Regions from separate parts of the Mus musculus genome. Here region 2 is reported to be linked to region 1. The links are microRNA targets in miRTarBase. Many come from high-throughput screens and were not tested one by one. Region 1 holds a microRNA gene; the other region holds the end of a gene's coding sequence.
The links. Region 1 holds the annotated microRNA mmu-miR-335-3p (UUUUUCAUUAUUGCUCCUGACC, at 2,593-2,614, shown strand). A microRNA usually pairs through its seed, bases 2 to 8, with sites in the 3' UTR of a target mRNA and lowers its output. Matches are read on the target gene's strand: a 7mer-m8 pairs with bases 2 to 8, a 7mer-A1 pairs with bases 2 to 7 and ends in A, and an 8mer does both.

Region 2: the mRNA of Afg3l1 is a reported target of mmu-miR-335-3p. Seed matches in the 3' UTR shown: 7mer-A1 at 3,024-3,030.

What each region holds. Positions count from the first base shown.
Region 1 is chr6:30,738,762-30,744,286 of GRCm38, forward strand. Mir335 (microRNA 335) reads left to right here and starts at 2,538; the gene lies at 2,538-2,635. It overlaps Mest (mesoderm specific transcript), which reads left to right. Exons shown (of 12, transcript NM_008590.2): 2 at 1,909-2,063; 3 at 3,380-3,459; 4 at 3,767-3,844; 5 at 3,955-4,091; 6 at 4,253-4,311.
Region 2 is chr8:123,500,171-123,505,695 of GRCm38, reverse strand. Afg3l1 (AFG3-like AAA ATPase 1) reads right to left here. Exons shown (of 17, transcript NM_054070.3): 15 at 4,263-4,463; 16 at 3,987-4,181; 17 at 1,780-3,848. The coding sequence ends at 3,630. It overlaps Dbndd1 (dysbindin (dystrobrevin binding protein 1) domain containing 1), which reads left to right. Exons shown (of 4, transcript NM_028146.4): 4 at 1-9. Among named protein-coding and RNA genes, the nearest start is that of Dbndd1, 13 kb to the left of the region's middle.

The DNA.
Region 1 (5,525 bases):
AGGGTTACCGCATAGGTGCGACTAGATCGTGCCGCGCAGTGTGGCCACGGCTATAAGTGTTGTTTGGGAGCCAGAAATGGAAACCCCGGGGGACACCGGCACGCGGCCAGGCTCTTAAAATGTAAAAAGAATTGTTTGCTTTGGTTTGTGGGTGCACAGCGTAGTTCTCAATAAGAATGAGTCAGGTGGGCTGGTTTGGTGGTATTAGATAAATATGTTTTTACATCATTTAAAGCAGTAAGAAATCAAGGCACGTAAAGTTTGTTGTGCGAGTGTGTTGAATTTTTGCTCTAAATCATGGTACCATCAAATATTAGAGAGTGGACTTAAAAATTATTGTTTAAACCTTTTGGTCCGATTGCTAGTTTCCTTGACTGCTAAAAATCTTAAAATGTTTGGGGTATTTTTACCAAGGTAACTAAAGCTGAGAATGGCTGGGGGGGGGGGTTGTCCCCCCTTTCCTGCATGGAGGAGGTGCACTGAGGTATGGTCCGGAGAGCGTGGGTGTGGCACCTCTGTTTCCCTGCGCCAGCAGGAAGCCCCTGTTCACTCTGCAGTAGGCGCCCCTCCCCGGCGTTCTGCTGAGTCACTGCGGATTCAGTGAGTCCAGCAAGGATGCCCCAGAGGCTACATGAAAATGTATGAACAGGTAACAGGACCAAATGGGTTCTGAGGAAATGAGCAGTAACAACAAAAAGACCCCCCCCTCCCCCAAACCTAATGCTTTTGCTTTTCAAAGAGGTTCAGCCTTAAAACCCGTTAGTGGATAACAGACTGAGATAAAAACCATCGTGTTCTGGCACTGTGCCAGGCATTTCTAGTATAGCCTCAAAAGGTAGAACCAAAGCCTTGTGTCTTTATTGGACAGTGACTTTGGAGGAAGGAAAAAAAAGTCTCAGCGCTGACTAAAGTTGAGGCAGGCAGCTGAGGTTCCTAAGGGGTGCTGGTTTTTACCCACCATTTCAGGTTTACAGAGAACACCCCCCCCACACACACAAAAACCCAGTCAGTTTCATCAAATTGCAGGTAATGTGTTATGTATAGGGTGCACTCAAATACAAAGACAGCGGTTTTATTTGTAGCTCACTTCCTAATGTCTGTAGCTTTAGTTTAGGAGGCACTATCCCAATTCTTTAGAGAACCCTTTCCTTGGTGACCATGGCGGGTCACAAAGGAAATGGTTTCTAATCGTGCCTTATTTCTCGCCTCCAGGATAAATTGATCTGGACCTTTGAAATCCAGGCATGGCAAGCTGGGGCCACAAATCTGTGCTTCCCCCCCCCTCCTGCCCCCCCCCCCCACAAAAGTCTTGAGTGCTAGGTGTGGGGGTGGGGTCTTAATTAAATAAAAGGGAACCACCTCAAGAGTCTGCTAAGAATGCACAAATATAATCTGCTGCCCAGACTTGTAAGAGATTAGATATTCAGGGTCAGGGCAAAGCTGCTTACTGGAATTCTCCTGGTCTCTCCCCTCAACAGTTCCATAGCCCAAATGCAGACAGTAGTGCCAAATGGGGATTCACTTGGTCAGAGGATATGTATGTGTTAGAACCCAGGAGCAGCTCTCTGCTTAAGGCCATGCAGTAAGTTACATATGTGCTTGGAAAGAATGGTAGTGAGCTAGTACAGTGACTGCCAGATGTCAAAGGGTAAAGGTGTTTATCACATTCTTCTTGGTAAAGTTTATGCCATTGTCACGTTGGGTGGGGAGGTGTGGAGTGGGGAAGGGAGGGGTGAAGTGGGGAGGGGAGGGGTGGAGTGGGCAGGGGAGGGGTCGAGTGGGAAGGGGTGGGGAGGGGAGGGGAGGGATGGGGGGTGGGGTCAAACCTCACAGTGCCCAGGTTTCCCACCCATGTTTCATTCTGATTTTTGGAAGTGTACAATGTTACCTTGGCTGCTTTTTCCACAGGATGAGAGAGTGGTGGGTCCAAGTAGGGCTCCTGGCTGTGCCCTTGCTGGCTGCGTACCTGCACATCCCGCCCCCTCAGCTCTCCCCTGCTCTGCACTCATGGAAGACTTCTGGCAAGTTTTTCACCTACAAAGGCCTACGCATCTTCTACCAAGGTGAGAACTGGGCTATTGGAGAATCCCAAGGACGTGGGTCGTGTAGGTTTCAGCTGAAGTTACTTATTTTGTGTCCCTTGGTCTGTTGCTCCACAGTGAAGGTGAGGTGAAGGTGGGGGTAGAATTGTGCCTGGTAGTAATTGCAGCCCCATTTGTATTTGAGAAATTACTTTTCTCTTTTGAGCGCCCCTAGTGTCAGGTAAGCTATATAGTATTTCGAGATCTATCTATACCTTTGTTTCCCCCACGCCCCACCCCATTCCCAAATTCATGCACTATTTTCCGTGATTTGTTATATGTAGCTGATAAGATTGACTTGATGACTGCTATTTAATTACCACACTCAGGATATTCAGTTATATTTTAACCTTCATTATTTCATTTTTCACTTAATTTTTACAACAGCATTTGGAGATAGGTGCCATTAACCTCATTTTATAGCTGAAGAAACCGAGAAACAGATTGGAAAAGATTTCTTTTGGGCGGGGGTCAAGAGCAATAACGAAAAATGTTTGTTTTTCGTAAACCGTTTTTCATTATTGCTCCTGACCCCCTCTCATGGGTTATAGCCAGTCGAGTAAGTATGCATTTTTTTTTTTATGTTGGCTTGTTGTTCTTTCCCAGACTTGATATTCAGTGTTACATCTTATTTGCATAGGTTCTTTAGGTTAAATCCAGTATATGATATTTTAATTGCTTTTAATTAAATAATTTCTGAAAACATGCTACCAAAGTTTTATTCCACTAGCAGTATTAATTTCAATCCAGTACTGTTGGCAAGGTATTTTATTGTTTGAATAATCTGAAATATGTCACATACAGAAAAAGTTCCCATCACTATTAGCCCATCTTTGTAACAGTTTGATTTTTTGAGTTGCATGAATTCTGCTAGTATATGGACAAATGGTATAAGCTCAGGTGATCCACTGGGAAGAACTGTCACATCTTAGATATTAGGTGTGATAAATATTGATTAGGGACAAAGAAGTTTTAGCTTGCTGTGATTATAGTATTTTAACTGTTTTTCCTTTTTATTTAAAAATTTGAGTTTTATATTAATGTCAGCGAAAATATGAGGATGTCTACACAACTCTTAAGTGATGATGAACAAACTGTTTTAAGGGTTTTCATGTAAAGCATGCCATTACGATTTAAAAGCGCAGATTAGGAGGAAGCTCCTGAAGTCCTGTCAGCTTGCTTTCTAACACAGCATGGTGATGTCATTCATTTAGTCTGATCCTTTTGACTGGATTAGATTTTGGTGTCGTCAAGGCTGCCTTGCATGCAGTTTGCCTCATTTCTCATTTTCCTCCTAGATTCTGTCGGTGTGGTCGGAAGCCCTGAGATAGTTGTGCTTTTACATGGCTTTCCAACATCCAGCTATGACTGGTACAAGGTAATAATGTTTCTAGGTCTGGCTTATGTCCTAAAAAAAATACTCAAAACTCAAGATATTTTTTTTGTTGTTGTTGTTGTTCTGGTCAGCCCTAGAATTCTTTTGCAGATTTGAACTGTTTGATAAAATCTCATTAAATGTAGAATTGCTTTTTATGTACTGTAAGGGGAGTAAAATACTGACTGCAGAAAGGGACACTGCCAAATTAAAGCTGGAGTTACGCTCTCCGTACAGTGGCATGCAGGCCTGTTTGCTGTGGGGCTGGGCAGTGGGAGCAGAGTGCTCACCATGCTTGCTTTCTTAACAGATCTGGGAAGGGCTGACCCTGAGGTTCCATCGAGTGATCGCCCTTGATTTCTTAGGCTTTGGCTTCAGTGACAAGCCGGTAAGCAGCAGCTGGGTGTGGTCCGTGATGGGGGTAGGTGGGTGGGTACAAATGAGGGTCTGGCAGGCACTGCTAACATCATGTTGTATCTCTGGCTTTCCTTTCCTCAGAGACCACATCAGTACTCCATATTTGAGCAGGCCAGCATCGTAGAGTCCCTTCTGCGGCACCTGGGGCTCCAGAACCGCAGAATCAACCTGCTGTCTCACGATTATGGAGATATCGTTGCTCAGGAACTGCTGTACAGGTCAGTGAAACCGGACTTCTGTCCTCTGCACAGGTGTCGTAGCTTTAGATAATGGGAAACTCAAGTATTCTGGGACCATCACACCTCTAGGGGTCGTCTGCAGCCCTTGTGGGGAGTCAGTTACTGAGCTACATGTGTCTTTTTTTCTTGCCCTGCTCCAGGTACAAGCAGAATCGATCTGGCCGGCTCACCATAAAGAGTCTCTGTCTGTCGAATGGAGGTAATTGCCTTGGTGGTAGGTGGAAAAGTAGGGTGTAGTTTCAAAAAGTCACCCTTTTAAGTCACACAAGAAAAAAAATTTAAAAATAATCTGATATTATAAACAGACACCATATATCGGGCATCTTTTACCTTCATTGTGCCATGAGTAGTTTTCATGGTTGATGGTATTTATGGAATACATATTTTCAAATCTATAGCAAATAAAAGGATAGCCATGATGGCAGGAGCCTCAATGGGTGAAGGGGCTTGTTGCCCAGTCTGTGGATATGACTTTGATTCTGGAACCCACGTTGTGGGAGAAGATTGATCCCTCTGGGCTGTCCTCAGACTTCCGCATGTGTCTTGGCACGAATATATACATAAGCACAATGAACACACATTTTTGTTGTTGTTGTTTGTTTCTAAAGAGCCAGGTGCAGTGGTGCACACCTTTAATCCCAACACTTGGGGGACAGAGGCAGGTGGATCTCTGAGTTCAAGGCCAGCCTGATTTACATAATGAGTTCCAGGACAGCCAGGGCCTGGAACCCTGTCCTGAAAACAAAAACAAAAACAAAAACAAAAAATAAAGGAGCTATCACAAATGTGATTCTATTGATCTGGCTGGTAAGCTACATTAATAAACTCTTAATTGGTGGTAGTGCCAGGTGCCAGCTGGGAATGAGTCTTACCATTTGGAAGTTTTGGGATTTTGTGTGTGTGTGTGTGTGTGTGTGTGTGTGTGTGTGTGTGTGTATCTTTTCTATCATGGAGATGCTCATTAATCCAGAAATGCCCAAATGCCCCAACCTGAATGCCTCCAGGGCAGCCTGGGACAAGGGTAGTGGGTCCGTCCCTTTATCAGTGGAAACAAAGAGTGATTTTTCTTTTACAAGAGCCTACCTACAGAAACATACACGTGTTTGCAGATGAGCTTGTTACTACCACTGTGCTCTGAGCACTGGGGTGAGCTGAAGGGAGTGTAAGCATAGGCAGCCGTGCGTGCGGTATGGAGGAGCATATAAATTACTCTCCATTTTTGTACCTTAAAGCGAGAAAAGCAAGCCCAGCGTGTGGCAATTTGTCTATTAAACAGAGCACCTTGTAGTAATTAGCAGTATAGTCATGCCTCAGTTGGTACATGCGCATGCAGTTCTGTGTTGCGTATGAGTTGTTGTGCAGTGCCTCGCTGTTTGTACTCATAATTCTGTTTTAGCAGCAGAGACTTCACGT
Region 2 (5,525 bases), not on the chromosome of region 1:
TTGTCCCCAGGTTGACCTGCCCGCTGCCCACCATCTTCTGAGGAGGACAAGGCTTTTGATTGTCATTTGCAGTGAATGCTACCGGGGAGAAAATGCCCTGGGCTTCTGCTGGGGGCAGAGCTGCATCCAGGAGGTTCCTCTTCAGAGCCCCCCTGCCTCTGCACTGCTGACCCCCAAATGTGGGTTATTTCTGCCCGTCTCCCAAAATGAAAACCAACCCTAGTTTCCAAGGGATACAACCCAGCAGCTGCCTTTTCATCTCCAGGTAGCCTTGGCCACACTCCAGCCTGCCAGGGTCTTACCCTCGCCATCCACCCTTCCTGCTGCAGCTTCCACAGGGCACAGTTACAGAGTGGGATTAAAGTATCCCCGTCATCTTTGGACCTCTGGTCCCTCTAGATGGCATCAAAGTGCCATGGGAGCTCTGCTGTGCAGTTCCAGGCTGTGCTTATTTGAGTTGTATTTTAGGGACAAGTGCCCTGGATTTCTAGCCCCTAAGTTAATACAACAAAAGGAATCACTAAGAAAGAAAATCCTGCCCTGCCAACTCTTCCAGTCAACAGAGGTGGTCTGAGCCGAAGGAGCACTCTGCCCGGAAGCCACGGGGAAGCCCAAACCTTGCTACTTAACCACTGGAATGAGATGAACATAAAAGCCAGCCAGGCCTGACCACTTCTGGAGGCTCGGGGCAGCCAGGTCTACCGTGTGCATTTTATGGGAATGGTGTGGCTTCTGGCAAATTCTAAGCACCCTTATCCCTCCCTGCCCCTTTTCTAGGAGGGAGGTGGCAGAGACCCTGGCTACCCTCGCTGCTCTCATTGAGCAGGCAAGGATGCTCAGATCGCATGTCCCTGACCTCTAGCACTCTCAGGTCAGCACAGCAGGTGGGACAGCGCCAGCACAGGGCTCCATGATCTGCTGTCTAGAAATGCTGTGGCACACCCATGAGTCATGTAAAATAGATGAGATTCCATTGGTAAGAAGAGCAAGAAAGAGGATGTTACAGCTCTTTAACCAGCAGCTTGTGAAAGACAGAGTATGTGTGTTGGGGACAGGGTGGGGGCGCACCTGGATCAAAGGTGGAGGTGTGGGTAGGAAACAACCTGAGGACGCTGAGCCAATGGAATGGGAGGCACAGGAGGCCTGCCCCCAGGTCTGCTCAAAGGGTGGGAGATGGCTGTGACTGGGGTTGATGGTATTCAGTCTGCTAAAGGCATACACTGTGCCTGTCCCCACCATTCCCACTTCCTCCAGATGCTCCAAATGGGAGGTTCTGACACTTGACATGCCTCAGGAGAAGCCCAGAGGAGACAGGGCAAACCCAGCCACCCACCGCGCCCAACCACTGGTCGGTCACATAGATTGCCAAGGTAGCAACCTCAACAGCAGGTCAGTGCTGGTCCTGGAGTCCCTACCACAGAGTCTACCATGTCACAGGCCTTCTGGGCACCAAGGGATCACCCCACCTCATCAGAGGGAACTGAACACAAGACCCCAGGGCCCTGAGTTGCTCAGTGAATAATTTGGTTGACACCATGATATGGGTTTAAAATTCAATAACATGAGGCTGAAGAGATGGTTCAGCAGGTAAGAGTGCTGGTTGCTCCTCCAGAGGACCTAAGTTTAACACCCAGCACCCATATGGTGGCTCACAACTGTTAACTCCAGCTCCAGAGGATCTGACACCCTCTTCTGGACCCTATCGGTACTGCATGCATGTGCTGCACATGTACATACACACACATACATACAAACATACAGGCAAAACTCCCATACACATACAATTAGAAATAATTTTTTTAAAATTCAATAATGTACACTTTACAAACAGTGAAAATTGAAAGTATCTGTCTCCTGATGACATCTCTGAGGCGAGCGTGACAGTTTAGAGAATGTGCGATACCATGCACACCCAGTATAGTCTTTACATCCAGCTAATACACCCAGTCCACCCAATCTGGCCCTTAGCCGGGCCCCAAAGAGAAGGACAGGCCTCCACCATCCTGGCCAGGCACCCGGGAAGCTATGGCATCAGCTGAAAGGCAGGAGGGTCGGTAGCGTGCCTGTGCACAAGCATGAACATCCACTACAGCCCTGCATCGTTCACGGAACGGCCAGGATAAAGGTGAGCCTGCAATCCCAGCACTGGGCAGGCAGAGACGGGAGGATCCCTGGGGCTTGCTGACCTGCAAACACAGCCAGACTCAATACGAGACTCCATCTAAAAAGCAAGGTAGACTGGGTGGCGAGATGGCTCAGTGGGTAGAGGCGCCTCTGCCAAGCCTGATGATCTCTGGAACCCACACAGAGGAGAGCCCCGACTCCAGAGGTTGTCCTGTGCCCTGCGCATGTGCACCGTGGTGCGTGCGTGTGCAGATGTAAGTGGAAAACAGTAGAGATAGAAAGCAGTTGAGGAAGACACACTATCACATGCACACACACACACACTTTTACAGAGTCAAGGGAGCAAGTAGATTCCTCCCCAGGGCCACGAGCAGCCCCAACGCAGGCTATTGCAGCGGATGGTGCAGCCCTGAGATCTGTGTCCCCCCGAAACCTGGAGCAAGTCCACAACAACATCCAGGGAACCCAAAGCTCCACTCCAAGCACTCGGCTCTCACAGAGCAGGCCTCGACACAGCCCAGATTAACAGGAAAGAGAGGCCTCTTGCAGCCCACGGAGGCTTGGCGTTCCAAAGCCCTCCCCATGCACCAGAGCCAGAGGGCTCAACCTAAACCACCCTCTGTGGTTCAAAAGGGGGGGGGGCATGGATGCTGGAGAAAGGAAGGACTGCTGTGAGACGGAATTAAATCTGACACTCCCATCAGTGAGGCAGAGAAACCCAAAGGCTAGAAGCCAGGTCTGACTGACGAAACAGAATTTCTGACGCTGCCACAGGTGGGGTGGCCACGGTCCCTGTCCTCCACTGCACATCTACTGGTGCGCTGGCTTTCCTTCCTAAGGGCTGAGCAGCTTCCTTCCTTTTTATTTTTATTTTTTTTGTTTTTTGTTTGTTTTTTTGGTTTTTCAAGACAGGGTTTCTCTGTGTAGCCCTGGCTGCCCTGAACTCACTCTGTAAACCAGGCTGGCCTCGAACTCAGGAATCAAGCCTGCCTCTGCCTCCCGAGTGCTGGGATTAAAGGCATGCTCTGCCTTTAATCCACAACTGCCCGGCTCGCCTTCCTTCCTTAACTGTCTTATGTTTTCTTTACTTCTTCACCAACCTTTATCTGTGCTGAGTCAGGGCTCAGCCCTTGAGCAGGTTACCTCAGAAGCAGCTGTAAGAGGCTCACTTGGAAACTTAATCAAACACAATGTAGCTCCTCACAGCCCCACACCTGGAATCCCTCCAAAAAGACATCACTCAGGCTTCACAGAACCTGGAGAACCGGCCAGCCTTAGGTCCAGGGCCTATGGTCGCAGGCCACACCTTTGTTCCCTCAGCTATCTCCTTGGCTGGATGCTGGAGTCTAGCAGCTTTTCTGTGAATTTTGCATGGTCTTATCTGAGACGTGTGTTCGAAGTTGTCACCTGTTTTAATTAGTCTTTCAGTTACTCTGACAGCTGCTCTGCGATGGCTGAGCAGCTCCCAGTCAGCAGTGGTCATAAGCCGCCCCGGTGGCCACAGGCTACACAGGGCTCTCCTGCAAGCCCCGCTCAGTGCCTCCTTCCTCCCGCCCCTTATTCCAGTCTTTCAGCCCCTCAGGAAGGGATGTGTCCTCCTCTAGGCTGCCGGTGCCCTCTACAAATTCCTCATAGGTGGACTTCTCTGCAAAGGGCCGAGGGCCCAAGAGCTCTATCATGTCGGCTTTCTCCAGCACTTCTTTCTCCAGGAGACGCCTGCCAACCTGAAAAGGATGGCCACCCGTCAGGCTGCTGTGCCCAGGACCCGGATGCACTTAGTGGTCCTGATCCATGACAGAACCTAAGCTAAGTAGGCCCACGGAGATCAGCATGGTCCACACCCCAACCTGGGCCCCACTTACCTTCTCCACCTGCTCCCGGCACTGTGTGAGCAGCTCCAGGGTCCGATTATAGGCAGACCTGACGAGGCACCGGACCTCTTCATCAATGAGCTGGGCAGTAGCCTCACTGTATGGCTTCTCCACCATGGTTTCGCCTTGTCTGGGGAAGTCAAAGGACACCTGGCCCAGCTTCTCACTCATCCCAAACTGCACAATCTGAAGAATAGGAGGGGCCCGGGGTAAGTGGTGTCCAAGGCAGCCACACACAGGGCCACACAGAGGGACACTGCTCCTCACCTGGGCATAGGCACTCTGGGTGACCTTCCTCAGGTCGTCCTGAGCTCCGGTGGTGATCTGACCAAAGAACAGCTGCTCAGCTACCCTACCCCCCAGCATCATACACATGCGGTCGAAGAGCTGCTCTCGTGTGTAGAGGAACTGCTCGCGGGGAAGGTACTGGGCGTAGCCAAGCCCCTTGCCTCGAGGTATGATGGACACCTGAAAAATAAGACCGTGGAGCTGGAGAAACGGGTCAGTGGTCAAGAGCACGTACTGTTCTTGGGAAAAAAAAAACAGGTTGAGTTCCCAGAACTCACATTGGGTGGCTTACAACCATCTGTAACTCCAGCCCCAAATCAGAGGCCCCCTTGCGGACTCTGTGAGGTCTACCTTTATGTGAGCAAACCTACACCCAGACATACACACAACAATAAAGAATAGGAGAGACAGCTCAACAGATAAGAAGAACACTGGCTTCGGCTTGCGACAGATGGACCTGGGTTCAGTTCCCACCACCCACATAGTGGCTCACAAATACCCTTAACTCCATTTCCTGAGTTCTAGGGCATCTGACCCTCTTGTGCTGAGAGCAAACATGTAGGCAAAACATTCATACGCATACACTAAGTCTTAAAAAAAAAACTAAAATTAATCTTTAAAAAAATTCAAAGCCTAGATTTTGTGAGCCTCAAACATTGATCCACTAGGCCCTGAAGTGGCCATGGTCCCCTTACGACTGAGGATGGCAGGCTAAGAGCCCTGAGCTTCAGCCCTCTATAGACCAATGGAGTTGTCTGAGGAGTCTGACTGGCTCTTCAGGATTTGAATGCACAATTACTTGCATAAGAGTCAGATCCAAAGCTTATTAATGCTTAAGCTAAGCCCCAACTAGAGCCAATACCTCCTGCTCTGCCTCCCTGCCCCAAAAGGAATCTGACAAATTACAGACCCATGACTACATGAAAACTAAGGGAGGCTGGGGGACAGTTCAGGCAGTAAAAGCTCTGACCACTAAACCATATGACCAGTTTAATGCCCAGGACCCATACAGGAGAAGAAAACTGGCTCCCACCTCTGACCATCACATGTGTGTACACACAGGCACGTGCACATGCACACATGCACACGCGCGCACGCACACACACACACACACACACACACACACACACACACACACACACGCACGCACACACGCACACACAGAACGGAGAGTAGAACAGCTGTAGAACCCTATCCATGAGTGTGCTGTACCCACATGGGCTGACACCTAGAAAGCTGGAG